4 linked regions of the Drosophila melanogaster genome follow. The protein of the gene in region 4 binds, or shares a complex with, the protein of the main gene of each other region. Each region holds a gene or a part of one and is shown on either strand. Other genes may lie near its edges. The genes, in order: eIF3d2, eIF3j, eIF3f1 and eIF3e.

Region 1 (6,011 bases), on a different chromosome or scaffold from region 4:
ATTTAAATATATTATATTGGGGTAACTTGAGTGAGAAAGTTTTACGAATTTTCATCTGGAAAAGAGTAGCAGGGCTATCAGGTTCGTCCTGTAAAAAGAAGGGAATATTAAAGAATCTCCGATTTGATATATAAGTAATATTTTGATTTTACGATATATTTGATTGCTTTGGGTCTCCCTTTTCACTTCAATCCATACCTATATTAATAGCCGTGGGCTTCATCCTCGATTAACTGACTTCTCGTGGCAAACTTTTACCCAGACAAATGATATTTAAATGAGCTGCATTTGAAAAGTTAACGGTGAATGGAGCCCAAAGCAAATGTCACAAAATTGACAGGATCTTTCGAGAAGGAAAGACAAGAAAAGAAAAACTGGCACAAGTCGGCAAATTAAATATGCCAAAAGGCGGAGGCGAAATCCGAGCTGGCCAAAAGAACACAAAACTTTTGGCTTACAAACATTCCTAAACTCTTCAGTCCGCCCCCCGAAATGCGTGACCCCTGGCACCCGGAGCCCCCTGATCCTGGTGAACCCAACCAAAGTCCAAAGATGGCAAATCCGTTGCTTAAACGGCTAGAGGGCCTGGGGCCAAATGCTTTGGTGGCAACTTAAAGTCGCATTTGGTTTCCTAATGCGGCTCAGACGGCTTCCGAGGCTCCAGCTACCATAACCCCATTTCAGCGAAAAAAGCGAGTGAGGCAAATTGAAATGAAATTGAATTTAGTTGGAGGTCGCAGGAGCTGAAAAAGTTGACGCGGGTGTGGCAGTTTTATTTACAACTATTCCTCATGTGATGTGATGCTGGGAAAATGCAAAAGAGTTTAATTTGCAATTTGTCGCCCTCATTCAACGCTTAACTTTTCACTCGGGCGGTGTTTGTGGTTGCATATGCAAATGCCTTGGCCATCTAAACCCATACCTCAGCCCACTAACCCACACCCTGTGTTCTGGGCTCTCCGGTCTGTGTTCTCCGTTACCCCGGAATGGCCCGCAGCCCTGCATATGCGATAAAATGTACAAAGTTTTGCGTTAAGGCCCCACTTGAGTTGGGCTAGGAGTTGTTGCCGCTGGCAAGTGCCCTGGCCAACCCGGCCTGCCAGTTTGTTAAACGCCTTTCAACGGCGTGGTTAGCCAAGCGCAGACCTTGAAATGCCACGCCAGTCCTGGCCAGAAGCCGAAGCTACAACTGCAGCTACAGCTAAGGCTAAAGCTGGTAGCTAAAGCCGGTAGTTGCCAGCTGGTAGTCGGTAGTCTGTACTCCGTAGTTGGTGGTACATGGTAGCTGAAGCCACTCGAGCAGCTAACCAGCCGGAGCCAACTTTTCTGCGGCAAACGCTTTAAAAAACCAGTCCGCAATAGTCATTTCGTAAGTTGGTCCTGCAGGCACACACACAGGCACACATGTTGATTTAGCAAACAAAATGTTTTAATTGAATAACACTTTGGTGTTTCACTGCTGCTTACTGGCAAGATCAAGTGCCTTTCCGGCCAACTGTGCGTATACTTGATGTGCACACATATACATATGTATGTGCTGCATTGTGAATCTGTGCACTGCCACATAATGGACCGACTTTATCAATCAAATTTGCCGCAGGCAGGGAATTAAAATTAATCGGTTTCAATTTTCATTTGCGTAAATTCCCTAAATATTTTCACACACTTATTTCACACCCAGGCATCATCATTTGCTCATCCTGTCTGGGGAAGAAAGGGAGTGCAAGCCTATCCATGCAAATTGAATAGGTCTAAATTCAATTTGGCGCTGAACAAAAAGAAATTGGCGGACGGAGAAACAAAAACAAAAATGCGCAAAACATTTTGGTAATTTAGTTGAGCGATTTGCATTTCCGTTGGGGAATAATTTCTGCACTTTTGTGCTCACTGACTGCCCAAATTGAATTGCCAAATAACAAAAAAGGCAGGATGCATATGAAATTCGAGCACATATATGAATTTAATTAAATGCTGTTGAATACGAAAACATTTTGCTTAAATTGTCGCACGCCAAGCACCACAGCAGCATCAGAATTTGCATTGATTGATGCCGTGTTCGGTGATTTATTGATCCTGAGGTTTGTCACCCAAACAGCCCTTCACCCATTTCAGCCCCAGTTCCACTCCCCCGCAATTATTGTGATTGTCAGTCGGTAATGGCGGGGGATGTTCTGCACAATGCATATTTATTTAGCCGGGTTTCATTTTGTATTTCTTGGAACCGCAGTGATTGATGTGGCCATGTTATCCTCAAAATAACTGTGACTGCACCCGGTCACCCGGTCCGTTGTTCACTGACATGTCAAGTGATGGCTCCGTTCATATGTTGTGTTTGGTCAAAAACTCAATTTAAATTGCATTTGTGTTCACTGCGCATCTGTCAGCATGTGTCGGCTTGTCTCGTCCGTCGACGGATCCCCTTGTTCGGAGAACTATTAGTTGAATAAATTCGTGAGGGCGTTAGTTATCGTTGGAGTTACTCAAGGGATCGCTGGACTCCTCCTCCTCATCGCCGTCGGAGTCGAAGGCGTTTTCCGGAACGTCATACAGACGGATCATCGGCTTGTTGGGATCCTTCATGATCAGATACTTTCCATCCGGTTGCCTCATCACAAGGTCAATTAGGCAACGCAATACTCCCCAGGCATTGTCCATGTTCAGGTTGATTTGGGTGGCGAACTCCTGCGGCTTGAATTGCTGTGTGCCAAGGATCACGTGACGCAGGTGATCACGCGGATTCATCCTGGACACATAGCCTAACTTCAGTTGATCGGAACCAGCCAGCACAGCCTCAACGGTCCATCGAGCTAGCTTACAAGCATTGTTGCGCAACTCGGAGGCCAAGACTGCACCGCGCTGGGTGTCCAACTTCTGGCGCCACTCCACACTGTTGGTCACCTTGGAGTCCCATTCATTCAGCGCCTTGATCGAGAGGAACTGCACGTCCCCATTGGGTCCTTGGATAACCCCATTGTGCTTGCAGCGAGCAATCAGCACCACATCGTTGCCCAGATCCCACTGACGGTAGCGATAGCCAATGGAGGCAAGATCCACGCCTGGCTCCTCGAACGGATTGGGCTCCTCAAACATGAAACGTGGCTCTTGGTCGCCAATGCGAAGAACCTTTTAAAAATAAATAACATAAGATTTAAAAACGTACAATAACAAATAACATAAATTGAAACCTACTGTAAACCTACCTGCTGGCTAAAGTTGTGATTAATTAGAGTGGCCTCCATTGCCAAGCTATGTGCCGAATTGATGGAACCCTCCTCATCCATCGGAGGTTCTACTGAAGTCTCGTTGACAGTCAGCAAATCAAATTGATCATTATATCTCTTATCTAAGAACACCTTAGTGCCCAATTTCTCGACTACCACATCCCAAGAGTAATTGGAGCGTGTGCAGCACATTATGGTGGACAAGATTTCGTCGGTGGCAAAGACATTGCCCATGGTCCTCGAAAGACGACGAATAACCGGATCATCCGTGGTCGTCACGGTGTGCACAACACGATCCATCTTTTGCAATGGTTTTTCATTGCGTAAGTTGACTCGATCGTATAACTTATCATAAAATTCCAGCCATCCGCAGGTGGCAATGTCCTTACCATCTTTAATATTGGGAAGTGCCAGCTTGAGAAGGCGTGGAAAATCAATCTCCTCGATCGAAACCCAATCCGATTGCACCATCACTGAGCTCTCGCGGATTCTGGTGGGAGCATTGCGACCGAATCTGCGACCCATATTCTGCGTGTTGCGTGTATTGCGACCCTTTCCGTACTTGGTGGTACTGGCAGTTGCGCCTCCAGCCGTGGATCCCCCGAGACTTGCTATATTCGGAGTGCCACGCCCCGTGCGACCCCTGCTCCTCACATTGTTGCGCATATTGGGTCTATAGCGTCCCCGCTGATAGGGCTTGGTGGCCTTCGATCCAGTGGTGTCCACCAAATGGAAGGTGGAGTCATCGTCCTCGTAGAAGTATGCGTACTGACTGTTGTTGCCAAAGGTCGAGGCGTATTTACTGGGGAACTTCTTCTCGGGCACCATCGCAGTCCAGTCGCAGATCTTGCCCAGGCGATCACTTTTGCAGAACGGCTGGTAGGGCACATCCAATTCGGGTACCTCGCAAGGACCCCAGCCGTGCTCGTTGTACTCCACATAGGGCTTGATAAAGGGTGCGTAGTTGGACATAATCACGCCGAAAGATGTTTAAATAACCAAGAGCAAGTATTTACATTTATGTGATCCGGTTTTGTCGAGGTACAAATTACACTGAGCTGATTTCGTATGGCCGGCTTGACAGCTTGGGAAAATTTTCCAAGCCCTACGTTTGGATAATGTTATAATATGAAAAAGGCGGTTTTATCCATTAAGGAAATAACCGAATATCCAATCTTTAAATAATTTTTGATAGACAACTAAAAAGATTTCTTCAAAAGCCTATAGTAAGTAGATTGAAGCCTATTGTGAGAAATCAAAAGATACCAATTCCTCACAATAAAAGCTCAGTCTTATTTGTATTTCTAGTCACACCGAAACCCTATAAACTACACAAAGTGAGAAGTAAGACGTTTGGAGAATGAATCTTAGGAGGACGCCCTGCCCCCAATTAAACACCACCGCAACCACAATGAAGAAATGTGTAATTGCCTGTTCGTCTTTCGGTTCTCCGTCAACGTCGTGCTGCTCTCATTGGCCACGATTATTCTCATCCTCCGCATGGTGAGCTGATCCAGGATGGGCGCGGGGATCCCCTTCCAGCCGACAAATTCTTGTTTCTTATTATCTTTTATAAAAAACCCTCACTAAGCGCACAAATAAATGTTTGTTGAGCTGTGGAAATGGTACAGGAAGCGGGGTACTGTGACGGGATTATCACTTGACGACGCATCTAAGCTCACATCGACATGACTCCATTCATATGACTCCAACTCCAGCACCATTGTTCTGACCCAAGTATCAGGAAAGCAAAGGAACAACAGCGGAGTGCACTACAATGGGACGAGTGTCCTGTGTGCTGGATCTGGTCAACTTGGCTCAGTCCTCACTGTGTTCCGGTTCGGTTTCCTTATTCTTGGCTGGGAGCACCTTACAACAATCTCGTTAAGCGTAAAGGCCAAATTATAGTAAAACTAACAGAAGGCAAAAGGTAATCACATAAAAAGCTTGTTAGATAACAACGTGTGAGGCGGCGAAAAAGGAAGCGGACATCCTGCACTCCGGCTCATACCCAAAAAGCAACATGTCGAGCGTGTGAATGTGCCTGAATGTGTGGAAAATGATATGGGTGCGAGCGGGATGACAGTGGGAGTGCGGTGCCTCCGCCCCTCTTCCAGCACCCAGATCCTGAGCTAAGCTTTGTCAAGCGACAGGGTGTCATGTTGATGTGTATGTCACTGGCAGCTGCTGCTTACATGGCCCGGCTCCAGATTCCCTCGCACTTCTCTGTTGATACACTGCGAGAATATGAAGAGATAATGTCAAATGTAAGAATAGAAGACCAAGAATGCATACCAAGAATATAATAATGGGTTCTGTGGAGCAATAACAATGGGAACTTATTTTGACTGAAATAATTCCTATTTTACCATTGAATTGATTTCAGTGTAGCCATAAGCCGTGGATGAGTGTGCGTCTGAGTGAGTGTATGTGTGTGTGGATTATAATTGCCATGCGGCTGTCAGTGACTGCAGGCGGCGCCTAACTGCACACAGCTGCAGATGTGCGGCTCGTGTTGCAATATCATTTTTAATGCAAACCGCATGCCACATTATGCAGCTGCATTGCCACGTCACCGCTGCGGTTTCTCCATCCCCATCCGCCTTCCGCTTTCCAACCTCCGGATTTACCCTCTCATCTCCAGCTCATCTGCAATCGCTCCTGCCGCTGAAGCTTTTCTTCTGCCACTGCCGGTCTTGTAGGAAAAAGCGGTAGCGGCTTGGTGAAAGGAACACAGCCAAGAATAATGCCCTGGCACATAAGTAAGTACTTACCCAGCGAACAAAAGCA
Region 2 (5,713 bases), on a different chromosome or scaffold from region 4:
CATGGCTTTCGAAGTAGACGCCCATTTGCTGGCGCTCCCGAACATCGAAGAACACGAGGAACGCGTTGCTGTGAAACTGTTCGGTGCCGCAGCAAATAATCCGACCGTTGGCGTTTCTGTCGAAGCACGAAAGCGATTTGGGCACCGGAGGCACATTAGGGTGCTGCGTGTACTTGAACCGCGCCTGTTCGCCTCTTAGCCGCAGATCGTAGAGGCGCACGTAGCCATCGGTGGTGCCGACCAGGATGTTGTGTGGTCCTTCGTCGAGGAAACGAACGCCACAGATGCTTACGCTCTGCGGCGAATCTGTGGGCGGCAGATAGCTAAAGTTCTCCAGTTTCCCGGCGCCCGAATCCAAATTATAGATATGCACTGCTGAATTGGACAGTCCGGCGGCCATCCGTGAGAATCCTTGATCTGCGGCCAGGCTAAGAACATATTCACGCTGCAAGGACACACTGACTTCGTCCTGCGGCTTGTACTTCAGCTGGAATTCGGCGGCAAGATCCTGTGCGCTACAAGTGTCCTCATCGCCGATGTCTTCCTCGTCTTCCGAGTCCGGAAGCGCTTCCCTCGCAGCTTCTGCAGGATGTACGGATTAATCAGGCCGTCTTGGCAGGCTTATAGCTAATAAAACCTTCGCAATATTTGTTAAAGTCGCTCATTCTTGTCTATTTTTAATTTGCCGCACGTGCATTAAATGACGACAGTGCTGACTATTCAGCTAGATTTAAGCTAACTTGGGCTGAAGACACATTGAATACTTAATAGACGAGTTGAAAGGGATAAGAGTGCACTTCAAATGCGTCAGCACTCTTTCTTTTATGACGAAATCCACTTATTCGACAACTGAATTTATTTTTAACTACTTCAATAATATGATTTTGAAGCCAAGTCACACACCACACCTTGCGATGCTTCTTCTTGGCTATGCAAACAAAGCCGTTCACAGTGAAGCGCCTTCAAATTACGGCGCGCATTGTGATCGTTTTAAATAAATTAAAAATTATGGTTCCTTTGAAAAGTTCATGGTAATGGTAAGATAAAAGCGGCTACCTATAATTAACTCAATTGTCAATCATCAACAGTTCCACCATCATACTTGTACACCCGTACCACACACCCACCCATACAGCACAATAAGCAAGATTTCTTTGTTTTCGTTTAATATCGATCTGTAGTTTTATTCTTTATACAAAAATGAATTTCACAAGAAGCCGTTCCGAATACGACCTACATACATGTGCTGTCGCCATAAGTCAGTTGCCTAAATATTCTTTCGGTTTGGAGTTGGATTTGCGTGTTCGTTGAGGTTTCTTGATTGCCTGACTTGACTATGTAACTCGTTTTGTGTTATGTATGGTTATATAAATATATATTTACATATTTATATAGGTTCTGCCATTTTATATTTAACAAAGGACTCTTATTCCTGCGCAGCATCTCTAACAAGAAGAACTCTTCAACAAGCAACTATGCATTCAATAATTAGATATATGCGGGCTACATTTATAGATCCTATTCACATGAAGTCGTCATAGTCTTCGGTGAAGTCATTTCCGTACTTTTGGTAACCGTCAATGTCCTGCAAAAGAGCGGATTAAATAAGTTCATTCGTTGATCTCGAACGGCGGCGATTGAAACACTCACGTCGTTTTCGGTGCGGAGAGTGACCTTGCCCTTGCCCTTTCCAGCGGGCTTTTTAGCATTGGCCTTTTCCAGCTTCAGCTTTTCCGAGTGCAAGATTTCCACGTTCATCTTGACCTTTTTGATGTCAGCAGCGCTCACTAGATAAGGTGCGAAATCAAATCAGATAAGCCGTCTTTAATTGTCAGCCAGCTAATCACTCACGATTCACGCATAGGCTGCGCACCAGATCCTCAACAAATTGGGGGAAGTGCTCCGACTCGCGGAATTGGCCCACCTTCCAGCTGAGCGTTGCGCCAAATTCCTTGAACTCCTCCTTGGTCTCGGGGTTGAAGGCGTCAAGACCTCCGCACGTACTCGTCACACCGAACGCTTCCTGGGCATGCTTGAGATCAGAGGCCTCCTGGATTTTTTGCAATCGCAGCTTCTCAGCCAACTTTTCTGCAGGCGATAGGTTGGCCAAACGTTTTGCCTCCGCTTCCTCCTCTAGGAGCTGTTAATAACAGATGATAACAATATAGCCAATGATTGAGAAATGCTTTTGAGCCTTATCTCACCGCCTGCTGTTCCAGTTTGGCTTTTAGCGCCTTATTTGGCTTCGGTTTGGCTGGTGCTTCTGTTTTCGTAGGCTTCTCCTCGTCCTTTTTTTCCTCCTCATCCTCCCAGCTGTCCTGTGGGCAGCAAATAAACAAATGATTCGATCAGTCTGCTGCAAAAGTGCACACGTGTACAGCGAAACGAAAGTGAAACCGAGTGCAGAAAAACAAGTTTTGGCCCATGGCATTTGTTGTTGGGCACTTGGATAGTTGGTTTGAATGCGGCACTGCTTTCGATCTCACTTGGATTTCGTTAGTCGCACCTTGATGTCCTCATCCTCGTCCTCGCCCTCCCACTTGTTTACGCTGGCGGCGGCAGTCGGCCGGATGACCACCTCGCTGTCTGCTGCGGATTCTGCCAGGTAACAGAATGAGTTCCAGGAACATGGTGAATAACAATGATTTCAAACGGTTAGTTGGCACAGTGGCTAAAAATACTCATCAAGGCTGGTTGCACGGCACTCCAACAACAACAGCAATAGCAGCAGCAACAACAACAACAACGACGGAGACCACGTTTATTGTCCGCCGTGCAGATGACGCACCGCCCACTCTTCCGCCCAGGCCAATCGCAACTTACCCCAATCGTCGGCCATGTTAATGGTTGCCTATTTGCTTGCGGGATTTGTGCTTCTGGATGGGATGGTGCTGGGATCGACTTGTTTCCAGCCTCGGCAGCGATTTCAGGAATTTTCCAAAACCAAATTTCTGTGGATCTGTAGTGTGCCCAAGGCGCGACTAGCGGAAAATGCGTGGGTAACGTCGCCGATAGTCTGTTGCCATCGAATATTCGTAGTGCGGCCAAGGTGATATCAAGTTATCGACAATTTGAAATTTGTTACCCTACAATATTTCATTTTTCATTTTTTTCCTTTCTTGATTGTAAGATTGCTTATTTTATTTTCAAACACAAATTTGTCAACTTTGTTAAGAAATCTTTAAGTTTTTAAAGATTTGAGTTACCCTACAAGTTTTTTTCAAAAAAAATTCGTGATAAATCTCCCTCTTCGTGGTGTTCTAAGAAACTTACTCTTAGAGTTATAAGGAAAATTGATTCGACTCGATAAATTATATATAGTAGAGAGTATATACATACATAAGCATGTTCTTGATAAGAAGAACTAGCTGTGTCGTTATATACCTCGAACTCCCCAATTGCTGACTAAGGCTATCTTATAGTCGAGGAATTCTTTCGATTGAGAGGCTAAGTCATCCTTATTGGAGTTAGAATTGGTCTAGTTAAGATCTGGATTTGTTTGCAAAATGTGAATTATGTCAAACGTCTGCAATTCTCAATGGTTACATCTGTTTTTAACATAATCATGTTAAATGTGGCTTTTTGTCCCAAGAACGGTTTTAAAGATAATTGTGTACTTTCTTTACTTGACTGTTTTGGCGATTTTGTTAACAAAGAACAACATCCATTTCTGCATGCATAAAAAGTATCATTTTAATAACGTTAAATTAAATTGGTATTCTTACAGATTTGTATTTCATTTTACGTTCATCTTCAGCGATATCATTGATTTTCTTCTTTATCCACTCATAATATGAGGAAGTTTTCGTGTAAACCGCTGGCCCATATCCGTAACTGGAGGGTCCCCCTCCGTAGGACGTTATTCCGGCTAGGTAATAAAATTGATCAGCACCCCTGCCCACCGAAGCCATCAGCGGGCTACCGGAATCTCCCAGTCCGGTGTCGGTGCCATCCCATCCCATGGCACATATCTGGATGTCCTTATCGACGAGCAGTGTTGGATACCGATTCAAGCATTCATCCGGACTCATTCCACTGATGGTGCCTTGGCGAAGTACGGTGCTTTTTTGCTGCAGACCCGAATCGCCCCAGCCGGCAATTTGAAAAGGGAAGTTTTTGAAGGAGGAAGTTGACAATTCAATGCCAGGCCAAATGCAAATGGGTCTGATCTGAAGAGTGTATCTGAAAGAGAGGACATCGATGGGAAAATGTGAAAAGAGGGAACCCCAAAGAGCACACTACTTACTTCACCCGACTCTTCAGACGCAACAGAGCAATGTCGTTGTAGTGTCTTCCATTTCTCGTGTAGTACTGCTCGTGCGGAACCCTCAGATCCACATCGATGTCCACGTGCGCTGGAGCCCATATCTTGGCTCCATTCGGCAGCCAGGTGTAGTCGGGATCGTTCTCGGTGTCATGCTCGCCCAGGCGCACACGTGCCACGTAGAAGTCATTCACATTCAAACAATGGGCTGCCGTCAGCACATAGCGACTGGCGATCAAGGAGCCCGCACACATGGGAGACGGTCGCTGCTTTGCTGTGTAGGCTTCGTAACCCAGCAGGACTGTCCAGGGAAACTGGTTGGACTGTGCCTCCATGCCGCCTACGATATATGACGAAGGAGGACTCTGTCCGCAGACCCTGCTATCTGGTAGTTTATCCCCTGCAACCATCGGGCAGCAGGTAAAAACCATGTGCACTAGCTCGTGGGCAAAAGGATTAATGTTGCATAGTTTGTTCCGGTACTGTGATTTTTGATCGTTTGTCATGTTCCGGGGATGTAGAATCTTCATAAGAGGTTCACATTTGCTCAGTGGGATGCAAATCTCGTCTAGTCGGCAAAAATTGAATTTTGCTAAGGGGGGTAACAAAAATTGACCAATTAATGGAGCTCAAAATGGCCGAAAATAGCATTTGTAACACTGTATGAAATCCTATTAAAGATTGCATTTTCCTGGTAAGACTATAGTTTTGTGTAGCGAAATCAACCCAATGAAGTTCCAATTTTGTAATTATAAGGTATTAATTATTGTTGAGACCAAAAATAGATCCGTGAGCTGCCAAAGTATATATTTAACACTGACACTGATCCGATGAAATTGTAGATATGTATATTGTATTGTAGTTGCCACTATTTACCAAATTGGAAAGAATTCGCCAAGGAAATCGCTTGAAGCAAAAGTGCCAAATAAAAATGGATCGAGACCATCTTGAAATGTCAAAGCCTAACCGAATACTGAATTCAAAAGCCAGTTGGTCTTAAAAGTTCAAGCTTATCTCGATTGCTAAAATGATTCATGGCACGATGTCCAATCCACAACTTTCCTTGGGTTAATTATAATGGCCTGCCTGTCCGTCCGTATGAATGTCGAGATGTCGGAAACATTAAGAGTAAGGAAGCATGTAAGTTTTCTTTAAAACCGTGCCACGCCCCTGTTACGCCCTAAACTCCTAAAACGCTCACATCCTAAAAGTCTTCTGGATACCAGGAAACGTTCAAATCCTACTACTTTTAAACATATCAAAACTGTAGTAATAGATTGATCAGAGCTATATCCTTGCTACACGCCAAATTATTCAAATTCTACATATCCATATGTTGCAGGTTCATAAACTGAGTAACAGGTATCTAACAGTCGCAACACTCGAATACATTCACAGGTTTTTTGGAAATGAAGGACACCATCACCCTGATACCGCGTGACTAGAACG
Region 3 (4,873 bases), on a different chromosome or scaffold from region 4:
TACCACATCAACTGCTTCAAGTGTTGCGTCTGCCACGTCCAGCTGGGAGATGGCCTCAATGGAACCGATGTCCGGGTGCGAAACCACAAGCTGCATTGCCAAAACTGCTACTCCAGCGATGACGGCATTAAGTTCAGCTGCGTCTAACTGAGCCCTCGCCATGGAAACGGAAGTGGATTATTGAATAGAACTGGGGTTGTTGCTCTGTTGCTTTTGCAACATTGATTGTTGTTGTTGTACTAGTAATACATAGATATTAAATAGAGATGATAATTCGTACGTTCACATATATACAATACATATATCTACATATGTTGAGAACAAAGTCAAATCCAAAACGTTTCAGATTAGTGTTAATCGCTTTAATATGCTTCCCTACGAAATTATGTAATGTTTTAACTCGGATTTAAAAGTTTTATACAACGCATTCTACATGTTATAAATCAAACTCTATACATTTTACATGTTTAAATGCCAAGCTCTCTAACATTGTAACAAAGTAATGTGTGTTGAAACTTAAAAAAAAAACCAAAAAAAGGATTAACTTTAAACGAAGTGTTAAAATTTTGAAATTGTTTTGAATTTATATTTACACCTCTACTCTACACATCTACACAATCTACTATTTCTATCCGAAAATTCGCTTTTAAATTAGTTAGTTTCTAACTTTTTGTACCCGCTACAGCCCACTTAAAATACCTAACGACGCATCCAATGTACCTAAAAAAAACTATATACAAACACCCATCCACACGCAACTCACTAACATAATTATTATATACATACCCTTAAACTTGCATGAGGTGAGCATATATCGCGAAAGATTTCATTTCTTATATCCCTTATTTTTATTTATTGTAATTTCGCATAAAGTTGAAAATTTGTATATTATATACACATCTTGGATTGTATGATTAATTTTTAAACATGATCGGTATATGAATAATTTTTCTGTATAAATACATCAAAGAAGATATAGTTTAGTTTTTTAATAAACTATTTCAATGAAGAACTATTTCATATTTTGATCTGCAGAACGCTTAAAGTTAAAAGGTGTATGGTATGTTGGTGGTAATACTTCAATGACTAGGAGATACAGTCCTTCAATGATGAAACAATCATTTTACGTTTCTGAACTTATCATTGTTAATTAAATTGTTCTAAAATGTATAACTTACCTGTCCTGTCGCATTTCCGACAAATATGCTAACAAAGTGGATGTCAATTCGACATGCTTAATAAAAACTTACAACTGAGTTCATAAATTTTTGGGAGGAACCAGTATCTGCTAATGTAACACTGTAACTAATGTTATTGATTTAAAAAAAAAACTTCCGCATTCTGAGATTTAAATTTCGCCCAAAAGTATGCATTACGAATATATTTAAATTGGCCACACAAACTTTCATATGAAAAGTTTTTTTTTTAATTAATTTATATATTAAGGCATACGGGGAAATCTTGGAGCCCCTTTGTGTCCTTCTTTCATATGAAAAGTGTGTTTTTTTATGCTCTTTAGAGTACCTTTTATTCTTCACCAGGATCAAGAATCAGCGCAGTCGATCTGGCCATGTTTGTCCGCATGAACGTCAAGATCTCATGAACTATAAATGCTAGAAGATTAAGGATGCAGATTGCACAGAAAAGTGTAGGCGTAGCTCAAGTTTATCCTGGTGCTACCAAACAATTGAAAGTTAAGTAACGCATATGATGCAACGAGGTGCTGGTTATAAAATGTAAGAAACTAGTTTTTAATAGAATGTGTTGTCATATTTCGTCACAAAATTTGATATTATAACTTTTGTGTGCCGAAGGTACGATCATCAAAGTTTGATATTAAAGAATATAAATATTACTATTCTTACAATAAACCCAGCACCGATGCGACTCCCTGAAACCCTATAGAATAGTGAAGCTCACCAAAGACTGAAACACAACATTTTGTTTTAGCAGTTGGGTGCTAAATTTTCAGTTGCACATGCATTTATTTTGTTCCTGGTGATGAATACTGTTGTGTTTAAGAGTCTTCAGTAGATTCGAATGCTCCTACAAACGCCACATGGTCGTTTAGTGTAGGTGTCACAGGATTCATGCTGATTCTTCAATTGAGTTATAAAAAAGATAATCCCATATATATTTTCTTTAGTATGGAATGTCATTCTGACCAGAGTAATCGATACAAGTTTTGGTTTTTTTTTTTGGCGATCAGAGCACTTTATTACGTAGACCCCCATTGATAAAAAACACAATCAGTTTACAATGCCACCCTTAGTAGATATTACCACTTCAACAAACGCCGTCGTTCTAGGCGGTGGGCAGGAAGGTGAGCTTTTCGTTAAGCTGCAGCTGGGTTTTGATGAGCTGGGAGAGCGTGATGACCAGCAGAAGGTTGCGTACGTTGGCGTTGAACATCTGAGTGAACTGCTCGTGGGTCATGTGCGGCACGGAGTGGATAAGGTCTAGCAGCTGGCGTCCGACGGCGTTGTCGGGGGTTACCTTGTGAGCGATCACGTCGTCAACGTACTTGAGAATAAGATCCAGCAGGGACTGCAGCTTCGTGGAGGCCTCCGAGATTTGGGCCAGGTCCAGCATTGGCGGAACGGTCTTGGGACGGTGAGCGGGCGAAACGCCTACGGTCTTCTGAAGCAGCTTGAGCCCAAATGTCTCCGGCTCGTAGCTGGTCAGCTCGACAGGAATGGGCGTGAACATGCAGCCGCTCTTGCCGCCGGGAACTCCTAGTTGAATGCAGACATAAGCACGCAGACCCATACGTCCGCCCTGCAGCGAAGTGTCCACGGTGAGGTGAACCGGGTTGTTGCATTCGCGGGCGTAATACTCGTGGATCACCGAGCTGTGGTTGGTAACGTCGTTGCCGGTGGCCCACCAGCCTACCACGCTCTCGTTGGAGTTCACCTTGCGGTTGAGGTCGTACATGTCCAGGGCGTAGCTCAGCTCTGCCTCCACCTGGTCATCGTGCTCCTTGTGCGGCACACAGAAACAGTTGGTAACCTCCACCACACCTTTGTCCACAGAGCCGAGCAGGGTGCCGATGACGCGGTGCGAGTCCGCGTTCCGCCGCTCGAAGGCGTCCACCACCTGGAAAAGCACCACCGGGTGCACGCGCACGGTCAGATTGAGAGCCGACATGGTAATTTTCGGTGGCCAAGATTTGCAAGGAAAATTTCCGCAATAATTTCTATTCAGCCACGCTGCGCGTATGTTTTAGGGATGCAAGAAAAGGGCCTATCGATAGTGCGGGTGGGGGTTGATGGCTTTTGGAGCTATCGGTGCGGTCGTGCGTGGCCTATCGTTTTATCGATGTAAAACCGGTGGCTAGCGTTAGTTAATCAAATACTATTCAAATTTGAATATGTCGGAGATGCCAAGCGCGACTTTTCATTTACTTCAGCGTCCATATTGTCCAGCACATCAAGTCGCCTGCGTGTTGTTTCTTCTGTCGTTCTAAGCAGACTAATTTACTCAAGCGTCGCCTTCGCGATGCTTTTCTTCTATTCCTCACCTTCACTCAATTATTTCATCCTTACTTCGTTTCCAGAAACTATACAACAACAACAACAGCCACACAAATGATGCCCACTCAATAACGGAACGCTTTCCGTGAATTTCATTGCTCGCTGCTCATTCTTAACATAACGGATCAATAACAAAATGTCGGTTACATTCTACTACTCAATCTTGCTTGTGAAATTTTGCTGATCAAACGTGCTTAAAGCGAATTATTAAATTTAATAAAATGCCTGGAAAGAGATAAACTTTGAAGTTACCCAATTAATAAACTATAACCACCAGTTGGGAAAATCTTTTCCAGAATAAGTATAAATGTTTTCTGTATCCCGTAAGACCGTCTACTATTTTTTAAAAGGCTCGGAAAAAGAGGACAGGCTTGAACCTAAGAGTGGTGGTGGGCGGAAAATTAAAATTAAAAAGCGTGTAGACCGCTTTATTATGCGAATAGAGATTGCGAACCCCCGGTCAGATCACTTGCTCTGGATATCAGGCAAGAGTGTCACCTAACTGTGTCACACGAAACTGTGCGCCAAGTCATCCTACGCCATAGATACTCTTCAAGAGTTGCGAGGAAAAATCCTTTGCTATCAGATGCCAATATGGAAAAGCGTCATTAATTCGCTGTGAACAAGGTGGATCATCCAGAAGAGTACTGGGATGACGTCATATTTGGTGACGAAACAAAAATTATGCTCTTTTATAACGACGGGCCAAGCAGAGTATGGCGCAAACCGCTGAGTGCGCTAGAAAAACAAAATATCATTCCAACGATAAAATTTGGAAAAATGTCACTGATGGTTTGTGGCTGTATCACCAGCCATGGAGTGGGAAAACTAGCCTTAATTTAGAGCACAATAAATGCCGTGCAATATCTAGGAATCTTAAAAAACAAATTTGAAGGCCGGTGCAGAAAAATTTGGTCTAGTTAGCAACAACAAGCCAAATTTTATATTTTAAGAGGACATGATCAGAAACATAAAGAGTGCAATGTACGCACCTGGCGCCCTTATAACTGTGGTAAAGTGATCGATACGCCCCCTCAGAGTCCTGATCTGAACCCCATTTAAAATTTGTGGACCTACTTAAAGAAGAAGGTGGCAAAAAGGGACCTAAAACACGACAACAGCTTATGACTGTAATAGTCGAAGAGTGTGAAAAGATCCCGTTTGAATATGACCTGCAAAAACTTGTCCATTCCATGAAAAAAGGGCTTCAACTTGTAGCTAAAGCCAATGGGGAACATACTACATACCAAAACTTTTAAAATTTTAATAAAATAATTTAAAAATTTAGGATTAAACATCGATTTAGTGTTTTGTGTAAAGAGTTTCTTGACAGTCTCAAA
Region 4 (5,321 bases):
TTAATCACATCAATCATTGAATGATTTCTGTATCTTTGCATAACAAAAATGTTAATTTATCTTCTGTCCTTTGCAGATTGCCGGCGTGGCCAGTCGCTGGTCGTCTGGGCCATTACCGAGGGTCGCCAGGCCGCACGACAGGTCGATTCCTATCTGACCGGCCGTCCCAGTGGGCTTCCAGGACCTGGTGGCGTCATCGCGACATCCTAAAGAGGATCCACAGAGGCAGCCAGAGCAGCTAATATCAAGTTTTGTGTGCGTGCATCGTCCTTAGCCTATAGTGCGAAATTCTTTAACGATTTGTGATTTTTATTTTCGCGATTTTAGTTTAGTTTACACTAAAAAGACTTGAGTTTTTTACACACCAAACCAAAACGAAACACGTTTCATTTAGTTTTATTTTGATCGCAAAGCTGGCTGGGAATTGTTAGTGGTTCGTCGAGATGCCCTCCATATGATGATGATGATGATGATGATGATGCGGCAGGAGTCAATTAAGAGTGCAAACTGAAATTCTGATTGAAGCCAATCAATATGTATATCTTAACGGAAATCGAATATCCAACAAAAAATCTAAGGACAATAACTAGAAACTTACCGTTATCGTTAAAATGAAAATTAATTGAACATTAAATATTTAGAAAATGCATTTTTTCAATGTTGTTTTAGCTTGAGTTGCCTAATCTATGCAAACGAAATATATGAAGTGAAAATTGATATGCTGATCTCCACCATCCTATATACAATCCATAAATCGTATATACAGAAAGAGAAATGTATTAAACTCGGCCAATATCGAAACGCATTTTTTAGATGTTGTTTTTGTGTTTTGAACTGCATTCGACCGTTGACCGCAAATGTACCTAAGTGGCTATTGTTAAAACAAATCTGCTCTTTGGCAGTTGAATGTGCGAATACAAAGAATTACACAATTTATACAAAACATATTTAACCCAAATGTATACCCTTATACAGACATCTCTATATAAATATATTTATGTGCAAGTATTTGATGAAATAAATATTCAAATTATTAAAAAGCATTTCTCCGATGAGTTGATATTTGTGTTTTGAATTTGGCATGGGAAATATATTTATTAATAGCTTGAAAAGAGAGGCAACGTCTTTTTGAAATTAAAAACCTTTGTTATATGTATACCTTGTAATTTAAAATTATTGGTATTTTACGTAAAGCGTATAACTTTAAAGGAATGAGAAACCATTGTAATGTAGAAAATATTTAATAATATTTCTTTAAATTCATTGTATGGTAACTTATGTAGTTACCGCTTTATTTAATTACTAAGTACAATATCTTGTTGTTTTATGCCGTAAGCTTGTTACGAGCGGAGCTGAAGTTCCAGTGTGTCCAGTCTGACGATAAGAAGACAGAAGATATCGTCCTCCAGGAAAGGTCTTGGCGTTAGTACCTCTTTTCGCCGTGATGCCAGACCGGGTTTCAGTCTGGGCGCCACAATTGAAATAATAATTTTTTATTGCTATAATAGCCATGCTAAGATAATAGAAATTTTGAAAATTGAGTATTTTTTGAAAGTTGTTTCAATGACTTAATTTTATTTTAAATAAATGCGCCACTTTGAAAGCTTGAAAAAAATACGGCTTCAGGGTCATGGTATTTAATGTCGTGGAAATACCACACTCTGGTAACTCTGAGCGGGCGTCACTCTTTTCGTCTCTGGGCACACTGTCGGCCCTCGCACGCGTATTTTTCTGCCGATTTTGCGTGTAAATTTAATTGTGAAAACATAGTAAAACAGCTGCAATCATGGCCAATTTCGATCTGACACGCATCAATTGCCAGTTTTTGGACAGGCATTTGACCTTCCCGCTGCTGGAGTTCTTGTGCGGCAAGGAGGTTAGAAAAGCGACCAGGCGGTGCTCCGCTGGCGGTTGCCGAGTCACCAGTACATAACTATGGGAAATCTTCATATGTGTGACTTTCGTTGCAGATCTACAACCAGCAGGAGCTGCTGGAGTACATTTTGGAGACGGTGAACAAGACGAACATGATCGATTACACGATGGACACCCGCAAGCGTCTCAATCTCAGCCAGGAGATGCCCGAGGAGCTCGTGCAGCGCAAGGCGGAGGTCCTGGCCACGCTTAAGCAGCTGCAGAACGAGGTGGCACCCATCATGAAGGCCACCGACATTCTTAAGAACGGTGAGAGCATGAAGGACTCGAAGACCTTCGTCAACGCCCTTCAGAAGGACTACAATTTTAAGGTGGAGCACCTGGAGAGCGCCTACAAGCTGGCCAAGTACCTCTACGAGTGCGGCAACTATCAGGAGTCCACCTCTTACCTGTACTTCTGCCTCATCGTCATGTCGCCCAACGACAAGGTGCGTATGGAGCTAAATTAACATGAAAAGCGGCAAAAACCACTAAAACAAGAATATTAATTGATATTGTCTCCCAAATTTTGCAGAACTACCTTAATGTGCTGTGGGGCAAGCTGGCCGCCGAGATTCTGACCCTCAACTGGAACACTGCTCTGGAGGATCTGACGCGTTTGCGCGACTACATTGACAACGCCAACTTCAGCACCATCCAGGCCCTGCAGCAACGCACCTGGCTGATCCACTGGTCGGTCCTGGTCTTCTTCAATCACCCCAAGGGACGCGATCTCATTATTGAGATGTTCCTGTACAAGCCCCTGTATTTGAACGCCATTCAGACAATGTGTCCGCACATCATGCGTTACTTGGCCACCGCCGTAGTCATCAACCGCACCCGCCGCAATGCTCTAAAGGATTTGATCAAGGTGATCCAACAGGAGTCGTACACGTACCGCGATCCCATCACCGAGTTTCTGGAGTGTCTGTACGTGAACTTTGATTTCGAGGGAGCGCGTCTGAAGCTGCACGAGTGCCAGACGGTGATCCTCAACGACTTCTTCATCGTGGCCTGCCTGAATGAGTTCGTGGAGGATGCCCGCTTGATGATCTTCGAGACATTCTGCCGCATCCACCAGTGCATCACCATCAGCATGCTGGCCGATAAGCTGAACATGAAGCCCAACGAGGCTGAGTGCTGGATCGTCAACCTTATCCGCAATGCCCGTCTGAATGCCAAGATCGATTCGAAACTGGGTCATGTGGTGATGGGCACCCAGCCCTTGAGTCCCTATCAGCAGCTGGTGGAGAAGATCGACTCGCTGTCCATGCGGTCGGAGCATTTGGCAGGTTTGATTGAGCGCAAGAGCAAGCAGAAGCAGAATCAGGAGTCGGCCGACTCCTGGAAGTACTACTAGTTGCTGACTTTTTATCCACAATTAAGTTAAGACTCTTTGTACCCTTTAAAAACCGATGATTGCGCGCAGTCGAGCGAATAAATTAACATCTTACTCATTCGCTCAATTCAACATTTGATTTTATTTCCTTCGGAATCAAAATTAGTTATACAAAAAACAATACCAAGGCGGGAATTTGTAATTTCGCTAGCCTACAGAATGCAAACGTCTGCTAATCCTAGAATTAGTTGTTTGTACCTACAAGTGGGTGCTGGATCTTTATGACGATCTGGCCCCGGATCACACTATTGATTGCTACCGCGATTTCTGCTTGACCACCAACCAGGATCTGACGGGCAGGTCCTGCAAGTAAACGATCCATTTGCGCACCAGCAGCAGCCACACTATGCCGTACAGAACGCAAATGCCCGACTCCAAGTAGTACCCATCGAAGGTTATCTCGCACTTGCCAGCCGACGCTTCACAGCTCTGCGGGAGAAAATTAAGAAAAATATTTGTTTAGTTACTTTTATCTCATAACTGGCAAAGTTTATCTTTTCCTGGTTTGGGGTAAAACTTTCACCATACATATGTATCCATATACAATAATAATAATAATCTTGTATGCTGTAGAATCTCTCTCTGAGCACTCACCTGTTGCTCCTCCTTGCCCTGGCAGGTATTTTCCGCATTATTGGAGCACTGCTTCCAGGTGAGCACGTCCACCAACCACAACACCACTGTGTTGGGCCAATTACCGCCCAGATTGCACAATGTGTTCAAAAATGTCATGTAAGTGCCACCGACGGCTGGATCGGAGATCTTGGCGAAAAAGGCCATGGCGGCCACAAACATGGAGTACAGGAATACTTGGTAGATGGCATAACTGGTGATCAGCAGGACGTAGTAATAAGCAGGCACGGCTCCTCCACGGACAATATAGGGTGTGATGTAGGCCAAGCCAGTGGCCACTGTTGCCATGATGATGCGATAGGGAATGGCCTTCAGATAGACGTCCATCGGACGTGGTCCGTTCGTATATCGACCGACCGCCAGCGGCAGAATGAGCTGCAGAGGAATTAGGGGAATGGCGAGTAAAGCCAGCTTATCCTTCGGTACACCAGCGTCAATGAGTTTTAAGCTGGTCACTGCATCAGAGGCTGCGAACGTGACCTTCACGGTGAGCAGAATTACAGCCAGAATTTGGACGGGACGCATGCACACCATGTCCCACAATATCTTGTAGCTCTCATGGATGTTCAACTCGTGCTCCTCCGTGTAGCGAGCGTCCATATGCGCGTCTTCGATGTCGTTCTCCTTCTTGAAAATTGCCACCAAAGTAGTGGCTACCACAAATGTAATGCCCCAGAACCAAAGGAAACGGGGCAATGTGATCATGCCATCCTCGAGTGGCACGTCTCTTATGTAGGTGTTGCAGAAATCCTTGGACTCCAGGGCAATGAACACCACATAGCCCAAGAAGTAGCCAGCTGTTTGGCCCACGCTATTGCAGGTGGATGCGTATCCAACATTGCATCGCTTCAGCATGGTCAAGGCCCAGCCATCCACGGCGATGTCCTGAGTGGCAGCCAGGAAGTTAAGCAGGAAGAAGAGCAGCGTCAGGAGCGGCACATTGGGATCGACACCGTTCCCGCCCAGCCAGCGATCCACGTGGAGGGAGAGGAGTAACATAAAGGCTCCCAGAAGGTATTGCACTGGGACTAGCCACGATTTCCGGCGTCCAAATCGCCGGATGTACAGGGAATCCACAATTGGAGCCCACAGCAGCTTTAAGCTGAATGGCCAGTAGGCGAATGAAAACTCCGCCTGTTGTTTGTAGCTAGCTCCTCTATTTTGCAGCAACATTGGTATGGCTGCTATGAGCCCGATGGGAATGCCCTGTAGAACGTACAGGAACAGCAGTATGGCTATATTCCTCCGGTCTCCACGAATATCTGGTTTCTGGTGCTCCGCCACCTTTTCCGACTTTGGTGGCTCGTCGATGAGCAACTCCTGGTCGGCATTGCTGCCCGTTGGCTTTCTCCTTATGGCGGACATGCTGATCAAA

Evidence for each region.
Region 1: eIF3e (region 4) and eIF3d2 share a complex: the UniProt entries of both Drosophila melanogaster proteins name them as parts of the eukaryotic translation initiation factor 3 (eIF-3) complex.
Region 2: eIF3e (region 4) and eIF3j share a complex: the UniProt entries of both Drosophila melanogaster proteins name them as parts of the eukaryotic translation initiation factor 3 (eIF-3) complex.
Region 3: eIF3e (region 4) and eIF3f1 share a complex: the UniProt entries of both Drosophila melanogaster proteins name them as parts of the eukaryotic translation initiation factor 3 (eIF-3) complex.

What each region holds. Positions count from the first base shown.
Region 1 is NT_033777.3:12,190,760-12,196,770, forward strand, and holds eIF3d2 (eukaryotic translation initiation factor 3 subunit d2), read right to left. Parts: upstream 4,253-6,011; 5' UTR 4,194-4,252; coding exon 3,201-4,193; intron 3,124-3,200; coding exon 2,461-3,123; 3' UTR 1,944-2,460; downstream 1-1,943. Other genes in the region: CG43450 (uncharacterized protein), read left to right, coding at 4,582-4,728. UniProt on the Drosophila melanogaster protein: mRNA cap-binding component of the eukaryotic translation initiation factor 3 (eIF-3) complex, which is involved in protein synthesis of a specialized repertoire of mRNAs and, together with other initiation factors, stimulates binding of mRNA and methionyl-tRNAi to the 40S ribosome.
Region 2 is NT_033778.4:9,966,346-9,972,058, reverse strand, and holds eIF3j (eukaryotic translation initiation factor 3 subunit j), read right to left. Parts: upstream 3,131-5,713; 5' UTR 2,840-3,130; coding exon 2,824-2,839; intron 2,599-2,823; coding exon 2,507-2,598; intron 2,319-2,506; coding exon 2,205-2,318; intron 2,141-2,204; coding exon 1,852-2,140; intron 1,788-1,851; coding exon 1,651-1,787; intron 1,586-1,650; coding exon 1,523-1,585; 3' UTR 1,162-1,522; downstream 1-1,161. Other genes in the region: CG12134 (uncharacterized protein), read right to left, coding at 1-582, 638-665; CG12133 (uncharacterized protein), read right to left, coding at 3,708-4,182, 4,247-4,794. UniProt on the Drosophila melanogaster protein: Component of the eukaryotic translation initiation factor 3 (eIF-3) complex, which is involved in protein synthesis of a specialized repertoire of mRNAs and, together with other initiation factors, stimulates binding of mRNA and methionyl-tRNAi to the 40S ribosome.
Region 3 is NT_033777.3:4,710,939-4,715,811, forward strand, and holds eIF3f1 (eukaryotic translation initiation factor 3 subunit f1), read right to left. Parts: upstream 3,245-4,873; 5' UTR 3,148-3,244; coding exon 2,305-3,147; 3' UTR 1,944-2,304; downstream 1-1,943. Other genes in the region: smash (smallish), read left to right, coding at 1-147. UniProt on the Drosophila melanogaster protein: Component of the eukaryotic translation initiation factor 3 (eIF-3) complex, which is involved in protein synthesis of a specialized repertoire of mRNAs and, together with other initiation factors, stimulates binding of mRNA and methionyl-tRNAi to the 40S ribosome.
Region 4 is NT_037436.4:16,783,299-16,788,619, reverse strand, and holds eIF3e (eukaryotic translation initiation factor 3 subunit e), read left to right. Parts: upstream 1-1,678; 5' UTR 1,679-1,786; coding exon 1,787-1,876; intron 1,877-1,970; coding exon 1,971-2,363; intron 2,364-2,449; coding exon 2,450-3,274; 3' UTR 3,275-3,378; downstream 3,379-5,321. Other genes in the region: CG9674 (uncharacterized protein), read left to right, coding at 77-210; CG9706 (uncharacterized protein), read right to left, coding at 3,569-3,742, 3,908-5,311. UniProt on the Drosophila melanogaster protein: Component of the eukaryotic translation initiation factor 3 (eIF-3) complex, which is involved in protein synthesis of a specialized repertoire of mRNAs and, together with other initiation factors, stimulates binding of mRNA and methionyl-tRNAi to the 40S ribosome.